Macaca mulatta: one gene and its partner. Each later gene encodes a partner of the first gene's protein in a complex. Links are inferred from orthologs where the notes say so. Each region holds a gene or a part of one and is shown on either strand. Other genes may lie near its edges.

Evidence for each region.
Region 2: the proteins of SCTR (region 1) and SCT are in contact, whole or in part, in a cryo-EM structure (PDB 6WZG), measured with the Homo sapiens proteins. The link is inferred for Macaca mulatta from reciprocal best matches to the Homo sapiens genes SCTR and SCT. Residues at the interface, in NP_002971.2 of Homo sapiens: Arg30, Leu31, Cys32, Leu35, Asp71, Asn72, Pro117, Val125, Val127, Asn128, Asp129, Asn132, Arg135, His136, Leu139, Leu140, Leu142, Lys143, Tyr146, Tyr150, Arg188, Asn192, Lys195, Leu199, Phe200, Ser202, Asp203, Val205, Met219, Phe222; in NP_068739.1 of Homo sapiens: His28, Ser29, Asp30, Gly31, Thr32, Phe33, Thr34, Ser35, Glu36, Leu37, Ser38, Arg39, Leu40, Arg41, Glu42, Arg45, Leu46, Gln47, Arg48, Leu49, Leu50, Leu53, Val54.

Annotation. Positions count from the first base shown.
Region 1 is NC_133417.1:17,984,191-17,991,185, forward strand, and holds the start of SCTR (secretin receptor), read left to right. Parts: upstream 1-2,606; 5' UTR 2,607-2,873; coding exon 2,874-2,945; intron 2,946-6,995.
Region 2 is NC_133419.1:519,913-525,625, forward strand, and holds SCT (secretin), read right to left. Parts: upstream 2,401-5,713; 5' UTR 2,312-2,400; coding exon 2,241-2,311; intron 2,159-2,240; coding exon 2,057-2,158; intron 1,960-2,056; coding exon 1,867-1,959; intron 1,694-1,866; coding exon 1,582-1,693; 3' UTR 1,460-1,581; downstream 1-1,459. Other genes in the region: CDHR5 (cadherin-related family member 5), read right to left, coding at 1-64. UniProt on the Homo sapiens protein: Hormone involved in different processes, such as regulation of the pH of the duodenal content, food intake and water homeostasis.

The DNA of each region.
Region 1 (6,995 bases):
AGTTAACCTTTCTTAGATCTGGACACGGGGAGGTTCCACAAAGACAGCCTGGCTGCATCAGTGCAGAGTTCTGTCTCCAGATGCAATCTCCCCAATAAAAGACAGCTTTGCAGGGCCGCTTCTGTTTGGAGGCCCTCCGAACAGTCATCTCAAAGTATGTCAAATAAGTATATTTTGGGGCAAAATATTTGGTTTCCTTCACGACACAGGCTTGGGCTCAGTCCTGGATTCAAATCCTGGCTTCTCCCCTTATTAGCTGTGCTGATAGAGGCAAGCATTTATCTTTCCTAAGCCTCAAGTTCCCATCTCTTATATGGTCTTGGAGGACTGGATATGATAACACACCCGAGCTTCCTAACAGACTCCCCAGCATACGATAGGTGGTAAATATATGGTTAGTTTCCCTACCTCTTCCCTTCTACCCCTATTGTGAAACTGTTGTTTCAGGCAGGTTTTAAGGACCTTTCAAGGGGCACTTCAATCCCTTTTCTCAACTCTCCGAGAGGCAGAGCTTCCCGTTTAAGCAAGAATGGCTTGCTACAGGCCAGAAATTTATTGAATTGCCCAGAACTAATGTTGTTTTGCTTTTTCATCAGATATCATGAGGCTCTGGTATAAAGCACGGATCGCATTTTTGTGTTGTTTTCTTTTTATTTATTTCAACCCCAAACAGCCATACACAGCATTGTTACAGAAAATATTCAAACAACACAGAAGTCTGTATAGTAAAAACTGCAAATCCTTACCTCACGCCCTTTGCGATGGACATTTAGGATGCTGAGGTTCAAGGAGCCTAGGAAATAACATTTTTCTTTCCAGCCTGAATCTTGAACCAATTGAGAAATAAGATCAAGACAGATGGGGCCAAATACCACTTTATAAAGTCAGTATTGCGGAATGTGGTTTGTACTTGTGGGCAAGCGGTTTCCTAACTAAACCCCAGAATTAGAGAGACCACCACCCTGTCACTGGTGGTACTGGACCTGTTCCACTAGAGCCTCGACCACCGATCACAGCCTGGCCCAGGGAAATCCAGTTACAGGTTCTCTGTAGCGGGGCACACTGTGAAAGGAAGGAGAGAGGAGGGGACCGAACTCATGCCAGTTCCTTATTCTGAATGCATCAGTCATGTAAACTGGTCTCACCTGTGTATACATGCATGCATGTGTCTGGGTGCGCGTGACAGAGAGGGATACAGACAGAGAGAGGGTGAAGGGGTAGAAACAAGTCAGGAGCATTATAGTAATGACTGCTGCCCATGAGAAAGAAAGAAATAAGGGTGGTTCCCTCTCCCCATATATCATCTCATTTCCTGCCACTGTCACAGTGCTTCCGCAAACATCCTTGCACATTTCATTAGGCCCTTGGGTGAGTATTTATGTAGAAAGAGTTTCTAGAAGGAAGTTGGTGATTATGTATACTTTAGGTTTGATGTGTACTGAGCATTGATTTTGGACCTAGAAGCTGAATGGATTTTCCTCCCTTTTATTTCTTCTGGGATTTACCAGCCTTGATTTATTAACAGTCTCTTCTGGTAGGGAAGGCTGCTAAGGACAAGAGCACATTGTTACTTTACTAGCTGCATGGCCGTCTGAGTAGAGGCCAGTTACAGAGAGTCAGGTCAGCCATGGAAGGGTAGATCCAGGCTTTCCTGTCTGAGCCTCTGAGTTGCAGTACCCAGACATGTAATGAAACCTCCTCCACCTTCAATGCCCTCCTCTGTCAAATGGGCATCATATCACCTAGGGGTTTGAGGGAGAATTAAATGAGCTGATGTACTTCAAGTGCCTGGGAGAAAGATAAAGAAAGGGGGAGAGAGAAGAGGGAAGGGAGTAGGCACCAGTGCAGACAAAGAAAACTTGAGTTTACAAGACCCATCTAGGGCTGGACTCAGTGGCTCATGCCTATAATCCCAGCACTTTGGGAGGCCGAGGTAAGAGGATCTCTTGAGCCCAAGAGTTCAAGACCAGCCTGAGCAACATGGTGAAACCCTCTTTTTTATGTGACAGTAAAAAAAAGGCCATCTGGGGCGCCTTGTACTCCAGGATAGGGAGCACCCTTGGAGTGGGCTACTGGGACTATCTGCCTGAGGCTTAAATAGCTTCCCAGGCGGTTCATCCTCAGGACAGTCCCCAGATGCCTGAGTATACCACAGATCTTCCTTGGTCATCATCAAAGGAGGAGCTCATCGGAGTGAAACTTCATGGAATGGGAGCTAATGACTTCAATAATTAAGAAAAAAATACAGAAAATCGGAAATAAAGTGCAAGTAGCTGTCTGGGGAGAATAGATGCAATGGGCCTTGACTGTGTCACAACTTTCAGTCTGAGAGTGGGTATTCTCAGATGTGTTGTTAGGGCTGAGAAAGCCGAGGCTTACAAAGGTGACCTAAGTTGCCCACCGACCCCCTAGCGAGCTTGCGCCTTCGGTCCGTGGACTCCAGAAACAGTGCTCTTTCTGGACCTGGGGTAGTGCGGGATTGCCGCGTGGTAGACTAAGCCAGCGTGCCCTCTCCTGGCCTCCTCCAGCTTGGGCCCAGACTGCGGGAGCCTACTCCGGCCCCCGCGCCCTCCCTCTGCCTCCTCCCCTGCTGGCCTCCGCGCCGGCCCCCAGCCAGTCCCCCGCCGGGTGGAGGAAGCGCGCCGGAGCCGCCGCGTCCTAATCAATGGGCTGGGCTGCTGAGCGCGCGCGGCCACCTGGTCCGAGGAGGAGCAGTCCCCGGGCCCGCCGCAGGTCGGGTGGCTCAGCCATGGCTCCTCTGGGCGCAGCGGCCGGCCGGAGCCCGGGATCGTGCGCGGGGCGCTGAACTCCCGAGTGGGCAAAGGGCACGGGCGGGTGGACGTCGGGGCGCCCTCGGGGAACGTGCGGGCACGATGCGTCCCCACCTGTCGCCGCCGCTGCAGCAGCTACTACTGCGGGTGCTGCTCGTCTGCGCCGCGCACTCGGTGAGTACTGCCCCCTTCTGAAGGCTAGGGGACCCAGGGAGCGACAGTCTCGCCGCTTCTCCGGCCTTGGCAGGATGCGGGTGGAGGGGACTAGCAGATCTTCCGCTGAGGAATGGGGACTCTTCCCTGTCAATCCTCCCAACATTAATCTCTCCCAGCTCTTCTCCGCAGGGACCCCTTCCCAAAGAAAAACCTTGTGCGCGCCACGCGAAGGCAGCTCCAAGATGAATCCCCGTGCCCCCCACCCACCCCTTCCTCTAGCCTGGCTTCTGAGACACTCCTAGACGGAAATTCTGGAGCCGCCCCGGGCAGTGCCTATTGTGTCCTGGGCGCTTTGCCTCCAATCTTTCCTTGAAACCTCTCAATCACCTTTCGAGGCTGCTATTACCATCCTCACTTTATAGACAAGGAAAGGAAATGAGAGGGGGAATAACAATTCTTGCTCCAAGTCAGAAGAAGAGGATTGCAACCCACATCAGTATCAGTCTGCCCCCAAACCTTGACATTTTCACACTCACGGGCTGCAGATGGGAAAACCTGAAGGGAGCTCCGGCAAGAGCTTCCGGGTCTGCGATGGGACCGTCTGCCACTCTCCCCACACCCTCTCGTGTGGGACGCGGCTCCCTAATGTCTGCGTGTCTGGTGGCTGCTGGGTGCTGCTGTTCCCCAAAGCCAGGTCCTGGCAAGCGGCTGGAGGAGGAAAATACTACTACTAATAATAATAGCGGCAGGATGGGTGGTTTGTTTTTCTTTCCTACAGAAATTCCTGGGAGTCTCCGGCCTCTCGGAGCTCTGGGATCTGTGATAAAGAGAGTGGCCCCACCCAGACCAGCAGAAAGGAAGGAATGGGGAGGGAGTGGGGGTTAGAGGTGGGGGCCAGATTCCAGAATCATCCCTTCCCACTAGCATTCCAAACTGGTCCCCAAGGTGTCTGTTCCAAGAAGCTCCTAGGGAAAGTGCTTGGGGACCCAGTTGAGTCTCTGATCTCTGTCCTGGGCAAGTCTCCTGGTGTCCAACCTCCTTGTCTTCCCGTAGTCCCCTCCGGTTGGATTATAAGGAAAATCAATGCTCCCAATGTTGACACTCAGGAGATGCTCATTTTTCTGGTAGCCCCAAGACTTTCAGCAGCAGTAGTTGGGATGAGTGCAATTTGGAGCTTGCTTGGAACTCCCTTTCCACGGTGGAGCCTCCTCTCTTCAGTGGCAGTGCTGGCCTTGGAAGATGCTAGAGCAACAGCATGCACTCATGAGTTTCGACTCCCAGTTTGGAGAAATGCCAACTGGGATACTGGGGACAGTGTCAAGCCAGGTAGAGCCTGGAGGTGTGTTATTCCGTGGCTAGGGGTAGGAGAGGCAATAGCTCCTTCCTTGGGACCCTCCCAGCCTCCTTCTTAAGTATTTGCAGTGACTCTGAGACTGTCATAACTGGTACCTCAAGTGCAGGACTGAGGTTCAGTCTGCATTCTTGTCTCAAGAAAATTCCTGGATTATCACAGGAATAAGTGGAAGGGGAAAATGAGAGGCTTCCCTTGGTTTAAGTCTTCAGTGTACCTTGGAAGGATGCTTCATTAGGCTCTGGCCCCAATCCCTTATTTTAAAAATGAGCACACTGAGACCCTCAGAGAGAAGGGAGCTGCCCGACATCAGCAAGTTAGTAGCAGAGCCAGGACTAGCAGCTCTACTAGCCCCACACACCCCACTTAACCCACTAAGGTTAGCACCCAGGTCTCTTGATTCCCAACCATCCAGGGCTCTGTCTGTTATGCCCCTTCTTTTTCCTTTTTTTCTTTTTCTTTCTTTCTTTCTTTTTTCTTTTCTTTTTTTTTTTTTTTTTGAGACGGAATTCATTCTTGTTGCCCAGGCTGGACTGCGATGGCGCGATCTCAGCTCACTGCAACCTCCGCATCCCAGGTTCAAGTGAGTCTCCTGCCTCAGTCTCCTGAGTAGCTGGGATTACAGGCATACACCACCATGCCTAGCTAGTTTTTTGTATTTTTAGTAGAGATGGGGTTTCTCCATGTTGGTCAGACTGGTCTCAAACTCCTGGCCTCAGGTGATCCGCCTGCCTCTGCCTCCCAAAGTGCTGGGATTAGAGGCATGAGCCATGGCACATTACTGTCTTACATAATCATAAGATGGTTTTCTGTGTATAAGTTGTGGCCCTTGGATTACTTTATGGCTTCTGTAGACCTTATATCTCACACTTCTTGGCTGAGAACGCCTGTAATAAATAGGAGTGAAACTGACCTACTTTGGTTGGAATATTTCCCAGCCTCTGGAGCCCTGCTTTCCTTCTGTTTGACTCTGGGTGGTCAGACATTTGATTCTGAAATCTAAGTGTGTTCAAATAATTTTTTATTCATTAGAAGCTCCCCCTCGAGGGGAATTATAGGCATCTTCCTAATGGAGGGAGGTCACTGAGGGCAAATTGCTTATTACCACTCTCCCTCTACTCCATATAGGGAGGCGTCAGAAGTGACCCTTGTAAGTGGAACCCAAAAAGTGGTGATGGCCAAATAGGGCAGTTTTCTGAGGCCTCCCATAAGAAATACTGAGCACACCCCCGCTCTGCGGCCCCACCCCCATGCATCTCATGAGAACTTTTTACCTGGAACATCACTGTAATTATTTACTAACACATCTGTCCCCCAAACCCTAATACACACACTTTAAACTTGAGCATGGATGGAGCCTCATCTTGTTCATCTTCTATCCCTGGAGTCTGTCACCAGTGTAAGAGGGAGCTCAGTGAGTGTGTGTTGAATGAATGCGTGGATGACTGAATGAAATGATGATGATCCAGCAACAAATAACGAAGAATCATTTCTTGAAAGGACTCTTTACTTGCTAAATTGTACAGAAATGTGTCGGGCCGTAGAAAAAGAGTCACTCAAGGTAGCGCTTTTTAATCCATGGCATTTGGCAAACTGCCCATTTGTTAACCTTAGTGAGTTAAGTGAGGTGTGTGGGGCTGGTTTTTCCTTCAAGCGGAGTTTCTTAACACTATTGACATTTGGAGCCAGATAATTCTCTATTGTGAGAACTGTCCTTGCATTGTACAATGTCTAGCAGCATCATGGACCGCTACCCTGTAGGAGCTCATGATCTCTCTAAAACCGTAACAACAGAAAATGTATCTGTAGACACTGCCAAATTTTTTCTGGGGATAGGGAGGGCAAAATTGCCCCTGCTTGAGAACCACTGCCTTAAAGGTTGTCATGTTTCAGGTCAGATATACAGATAGGACTAACAATAGGTATTCATTTCACATTGGGTTTGGGGCAGTGGGGTTGGTGATAGGGCATCTGAGTCAGAGAATGGAAACAGGTGTGCCTGATGAAAACCAGTCTCCAAACTGGACAAAGGACTTCTGCAGAGAATGGGTTCCTTGATCTATTCCACCCTCCCTTCCCTTCTTTCCCCCTCCTGTCTCCATCCCTCCTCAGTTGATGGCTAAGAAGTATAACAATTCCAAGTACGGGACCTGGCACATGGAAGCCTTCGGTACATGGTGGTCACTGCCCTGTCCTGTCATGCATCTGGACCCAGAGGCTGACAAGCCCTGTGGCTGCACAGTGAGCAGAACCTTAGAAAGGCCTGCAAGCATTGCCTGCAGAGCTGGTAATTGCCCTGTTACCCGGGCTGCAGTGCAATGGTGCAATTATGGTTCACTGCAGCCTTTAACTTCCTGACTCAAGTGATCTTCCCACCTCAGCCTCCCAAGTAGCTGGAACTACAGACACCTGCCACCATCCCCGTCTAATTATTTTTTTTTTTTTGAGAGATGGGTCTCACCATGTCTCCCAGGTTGGTCCTGAACTCCCGGGCTCAAGTGATCCTCCTGCCTTAGACTCCCAAACTGTTGGTATTATAGGTATGAGCCACCATGCCCAGCCTGGGAGCTGATTATTGATGACTTTTCAGAGGAGGGTCAATGGGGATTTTTTTTGTGTACCTGGAAAAACACTTTCTAGTTTTCTGAAGAAGTATTTGCAGATTTCTTTTTAAATGTTTATTATCCCTGAAGTTAATAAGTGAAGGATGATGATGA
Region 2 (5,713 bases), on another chromosome or scaffold:
CCGGGGGTCGGCCAAGCAGCCCCGTGAGCAGCAGGGGAGGCCACAGCAGGGCCCAAGACCCCATCTTGGCGGCTGTCACCTGGCGGGAGGGTCCGAGTGGGTTTGGCGTCCAGGACTGGCGCAGTTCCTACCTCAGCGACCTTCGCCCCAGCCAGACGCCGCCCACTTTATGATCCTTTACAACCGGCCTCTGCCAAGGGGGCTCCCGCTGGCCGGCGGGTCCGGCCCACTGCCAGAAGGGGGGCAGTCATTTGGCCCAAGTTAGACTGAGTACAGGGATTAACCAGGGGGCTCAGGCCACAGGCACCGAGGCACAGGGCAGAAAGGACTAGAGAATGGCTCACGGGCGCCATGGGGCTGGGGCAGGGCAGGGGCAGAGCTAGGGTGTTGGAGAGAAGCCGTTGGTGTTGGGGTGTCTGAAACCTGCCTCCCTAGCCCAGGCTGCCCTTGCTTGGCTCCTCCCCTAAGCTCTACCTCAGGCAAAATTCCTAAGGCCAACCCTTGAGGCTCAGAACCTGGGTGTTCGCCCGGGAGTACCTCCCTGCCTGCCTGATGGCAGGTTCTGCAGGAAGAGACTCTCCTCACTGTGTCCTAGGGACACCCCTGCCTGCCTGCCCCAGAGACAAGCCAGCTTCTCAGGGTGGGGCTGGACAGGGCCTTAGTGACCAAGGCTAAGGCGGGGCTGTGGGGGGCAGCTGGGAGCTCCTGGGGAGCCCTGGTGCCCAACAGAGGGGGTGAGGTGAGTCTTGACACTTGCCCTGCTCTTTTCATTGGCCCCCGCAAGCCCCCAGCTCTAGGGAGAGGCCACTGGCTGGGGTCAGGGCGAGGAAGGGGCTGTCGTGAGGCGGGGAGTGGAGTCATTCCTCTCCAGGCCTGTGCACCGAAGCTTCTGGCCTCTCGTGGCTGGGGCTGGGCTCAGTGTCCCAACCCTGCACTGTACCCTCATGGTCGCCTGCAAGCCCTGCACGCTCCATACGCCACAGGCTCTGAGGGGTCAAGCCACTGGTCTGAGGCCACACAAGACAGAGGGTCCGGAGTCCTCATGCCAGAGTGGACTCCTGGCACCCCAGGTGACACCTCTGCCCTCCCCTCTTCCTGCCCGCCTGAGCCTCCCTGGCCCCTCCACACCCTCCCCACTGCCCCTTCCGGAAACACTGACCACACGCCACCCCCCACCCCCCTGCAGGAGCTGAGAGTCTGTCCGGGCTTCCCCTGAGCCCTTGACTGTTTCCTAATGAAGACAAGGGGGGGGCGGGGCCCTGCGGTGCTTAGTCGATGTACAGGAGGCGGCACTGATGCCAGAGATAAGGATGAGGGGCCCGCTGTGGCCGCCAGGTGTAAAGGGCAGCTGGGTGTGGTCACAGTCCCGGCTGGGTGGATGGGGCCCCCTTCCATCTGACAGCCCTGCTACACAGGGGTTGCCTCGATTACACCAAGTGGACACAACCAACTCCCAGTGTCTGGATCTGATTCTCCTTTATTGGTGCCGAGTTCCACCCCTCCCCCTCTCCCCCCAGCCTGCCCACCACCCCATATGCAGCTCCGCTCGTAGGCTGGGCAGGTGGTGAGGGGGTTCCTTCCTCATCTCGGTCGCAGGGTTCCTTCTGCAGCAGCACCGGCAGGTTCTGAAACCATAACCCCAGGCCTGGGCCCAGGGGGCAGCCAGGGAGACCAGGCCCCGCCCAGGGGCATCCTGCAGAGACAGCACGTGCGGGGTTGGGGGCTGGGGCTGCGGCTGGAGACCCCGGCCCCGCCGCTGGAATTGGGCCTCCGGTGGCCACCAGCGCTGACCCAGGGAGGCCACGGACAGAAGGAAGGGTCTGGGGTGGGGTCTGGGGTGGGGTCTGCGGTGGGGCGGGCGCTCACCAGGCCTGCAGGGTGGGCGTGTCGGACCCGGACGGGCAGAGCAGACCCGCGCTGAGCCTGGACCAGGCCGTGCTGTTCTCTGCGTCCTGCTCGCTGTCCCCCGCCCCAAAACAGAGTTAGTCCTGGAGGTGGGGGGTCGCGCGTTGCTGCCAGGGCACCACGGCAAGACCCCCGCCCCACCCGGCCTCACCTGCGCTTCCCCACCAGGCCCTGTAGCAGCCGCTGGAGCCGCGCGCCCTCCCGCAGGCGGCTGAGCTCGCTGGTGAACGTCCCGTCCGAGTGTCGCCGGGCCCTGGGGGCGGGCGGGGGTCGGGGTCAGGGCCGCGCGGGGGGCGGGTGCGGCCGGGGGCGGACGGGCCTGGCGGGCGGCTCACCTGGGGGGCGCGGGGCGCGCGGCGGAGCCCCCGAGGAGCAGCAGCAGCAGCAGGAGGGGCCGGGGGGCCATGGCGGGGTCGGGCGCGGGAGCTGAGCGCTGCGGCCACGGCCAGAGCCCCGCGAGGCCCCTTTATGGCGGCGCCCGGAAGGGGGACGGCCCGGCCGCGCCCAGCGATCCCGGGAAGGTCAGGGCCGCCCCCCCAGCTGTCGCCCCGGCCCGGCCTCCCGCCCCCTCCGCCGCGCTGGCGCCCCTCGGCCGGCTGGGGGAGGGGGACGTCCCGGCCTGGGGGGCGAAGGGGACCCGGGCCCGGGACCCCCAGAGGGAACCGCACCGCGAAGCCTCGGAGCCTGCGGGGCGCGGGGACGGAGGGGCCGTGGGACTTGGGGGAGGATTTGGGGGGACTGGAGGACCCCGGGGAAGGGGCGGCGGCAGGAGCTCCGGAGGCCCCTGGAGCACCCGGCTGGGGCGAGTTCGTCGGGAAGGCCTGAGCGGCGTGACTTTGTTGTGGGGGCCGGTGTTGCCATTTTATCCGCTTTGAAGTGCAGGGTTCAGGATCATTGGGTTCGCTGACATTTCCGTGCATCCGTCCCCACCATCCGTTCTCAGACTCTCCCATCCTCCCAAAATCCGTTCTCAGGCTCTCTCGTCCTCCCAAAATCCCTTCTCAGACGCTCCTGTCCTCCCAAAATCCGTTCTCAGACTCCCCATCCTCCCAAAATCCGTTCTCAGACTCTCCCATCCTCCCAAAATCATTCTCAGACTCCCCATCCTCCCAAAATCCGTTCTCAGGCTCTCTCGTCCTCCCAAAATCCCTTCTCAGAGGCTCCTGTCCTCCCAAAATCCGTTCTCAGACTCTCCCATCCTCCCAAAATCATTCTCAGACTCCCCATCCTCCCAAAATCCGTTCTCAGACTCCCCATCCTCCCAAAATCCGTTCTCAGGCTCTCTCGTCCTCCCAAAATCCCTTCTGAGACGCTCCTGTCCTCCCAAAATCCGTTCTCAGACTCCCCATCCTCCCAAAATCCGTTCTCAGACTCTCCCATCCTCCCAAAATCATTCTCAGACTCCCCATCCTCCCAAAATCCGTTCTCAGACTCCTCATCCTCCCAAAATCCGTTCTCAGGCTCTTTCGTCCTCCCAAAATCCCTTCTCAGACGCTCCTGTCCTCCCAAAATCCGTTCTCAGACTCCCCATCCTCCCAAAATCCGTTCTCAGACTCTCCCATCCTCCCAAAATCATTCTCAGACTCCCCATCCTCCCAAAATCCATTCTCAGGCTCTTCCATCCTCCCAAAATCCGTTCTCAGGCTCCCTTGTCCTCCCAAAATCCTTTCTCAGACGCTCCTGTCCTCCCAAAATCCGTTCTCAGACTCTCCCGTCCTCCCAAAATGAAGCTCTGTCCCCATCAAACGCCCCCTCCCCTCCCCAGCCTGGCGCCGCGTCCACTTTCTGTCTGTGGATTCAGCGCCTGCAGGGACTGCGCGCAGGGGGAGCCTCACAGGATTTGTCCTTTGGAGACCGGCTGGTTTCTCAGCTCAGCGTCCTCCGCCTTCGCCGCCGCAGCCTGGCCTGTGTGGGAATCTCCTTCCCTTTAGGGGGAACCGTGTCCCGTTGTGTGCAGGGACCGCGTCGACCGCGTCCGTTCATCTGTGGGCCTCTTCATGGACACCTGGGCTGCCTCCCCTTTGGGGCGAGGGCGAATAACGCTGCTGTGAACGCGGGTGTGCAAAGGGCCCTTCCCAATCCCGTTTTCAAGCGTTCTGGGTGTATAGTTATGAGGGACTTGCTGAGTGACAGAGTAATGATGTGTTAATTGTTCTGAGGAAAACAGCCAAACTGTTTTCCACAGCAGCATCTCAGACGGACACGTCCCCCAGCAGCACAGCAGGGACACGGCTCTTGTCCTCGCCGACACTTGCTACTTTCTGGCTTTTTGTTTGTTGTGTACTAACGATGCTGGTGGGTGCAATGTGGTGTCTGGCTGCGGTTTTTATTTGTGTCTCCCTAATGACCAGCACCTTCTCGGGTGTCTGTGAGCCATTTATACCTCATGGAGAGGACGGAGAAATGACCGTCAAGCCCTTGATGTTCTGCTGTGGTTTCGAGCCATGCACTGTATCCATCTGTTAAATCGGCCACACTATTTACCCCAGCATTTGCATCACAGCCCCGCCAGCCACGTGGGTCCTTCCTTCCTTCCTTCCTTCCTTCCTTCCTTCTTTCCTTCTTTCCTTCCTTCCTCCCTCCCTCCCTCCCTCCCTTCCTTCCTTTTCTTTTTTAGATGGAGTTTTATTCTGTCACCCAGGCTGGAGTGCCGTGGGGCCATCTCCGCTCACTGCAACCTGCAACCTCTGCCTCCCGGTTTCAAGCAATTCTCGTGCCTCGGCCCTCCAAGTAGCTGGGATTACAGGCACCTGCCACCATGACTGGCTAATTTTTATATTTTTAGTAGAGACAAGGTTTCACCACGTTGCCCAGGCTGGTCTCAAACTCCTGACCTCAAGTGATCCACCTGCCTCAGCCTTCCAAAGCACTGGGAATTACAGGCGTGAGCCACTGCACCTGGTGGCCTCACTTTCTCTGCACACTGTCAACCTTGCAGCAGTTGCTATTTTTAACCTTCAGCCATTCTCTCTGCCACAACACCTCCTTGTGGTTTTAGTTGCATTTCCCCAGTGGTGGGTGATTCTGAACCTCTTTCCAGGTGCTTGTTTCCATTTGCACGTTGTCGTGGGTTAAATGTATCTTCACGTCTCTTGCCTGTTTTTAAATTGTTCTCTACTGCTGAGTTTTTTTTTTGTTTTTTGTTTTTTGTTTTTGTTTTTATTGCAGGAAAATACGCAAAACATGAAACTTACCATTTCAGCCATTGTAAACAGTCACGGAATTGTACAACCATCACCACTGTTTAGTTCCAGAACTTTTCACTCCCCAGATGGAAAACCTCAAATCCAAAAAGCATTTACTTCCCCTTCCCCAATCCCTTCAGCTTCTGAGTAACAATGAATTTGCTTTCTGTCTCTGTGGATCTGCCTATTCTGGGTATTTCATACAAATAAAATCATAAAAGCTGGGCATGGTGGTGCATGCCTGTGGTCTCGGCTACTTGAGAGGATGAGGCAGGAGGATGGTTTGAGGCCAGGAGTTTGAGACCAGCCTGGGAAACATAGCAGGACCCTGTCACTATTTTTTTTTTTTTTTTTTTAGACGGAGTCTTGCTCTGTTGCCCAGGCTGGACTGCAGTGACCGGATCTCAGCTCACTGCAAGCTCCGCCTCCCGGGTTTACGCCATTCTCCTGCCTCAGCCTCCCGAGCAGCTGGGACTACAGGCGCCCGCCACCTCGCCCGGCTAGATTTTTGTATTTTTTAGTAGAGACGGGGTTTCACCGTGTTAGCCAGGATGGTCTCGATCTCCTGACCTCGTGATCCGCCCATCTCGGCCTCCCAAAGTGCTGGGATTACAGGCTTGAGC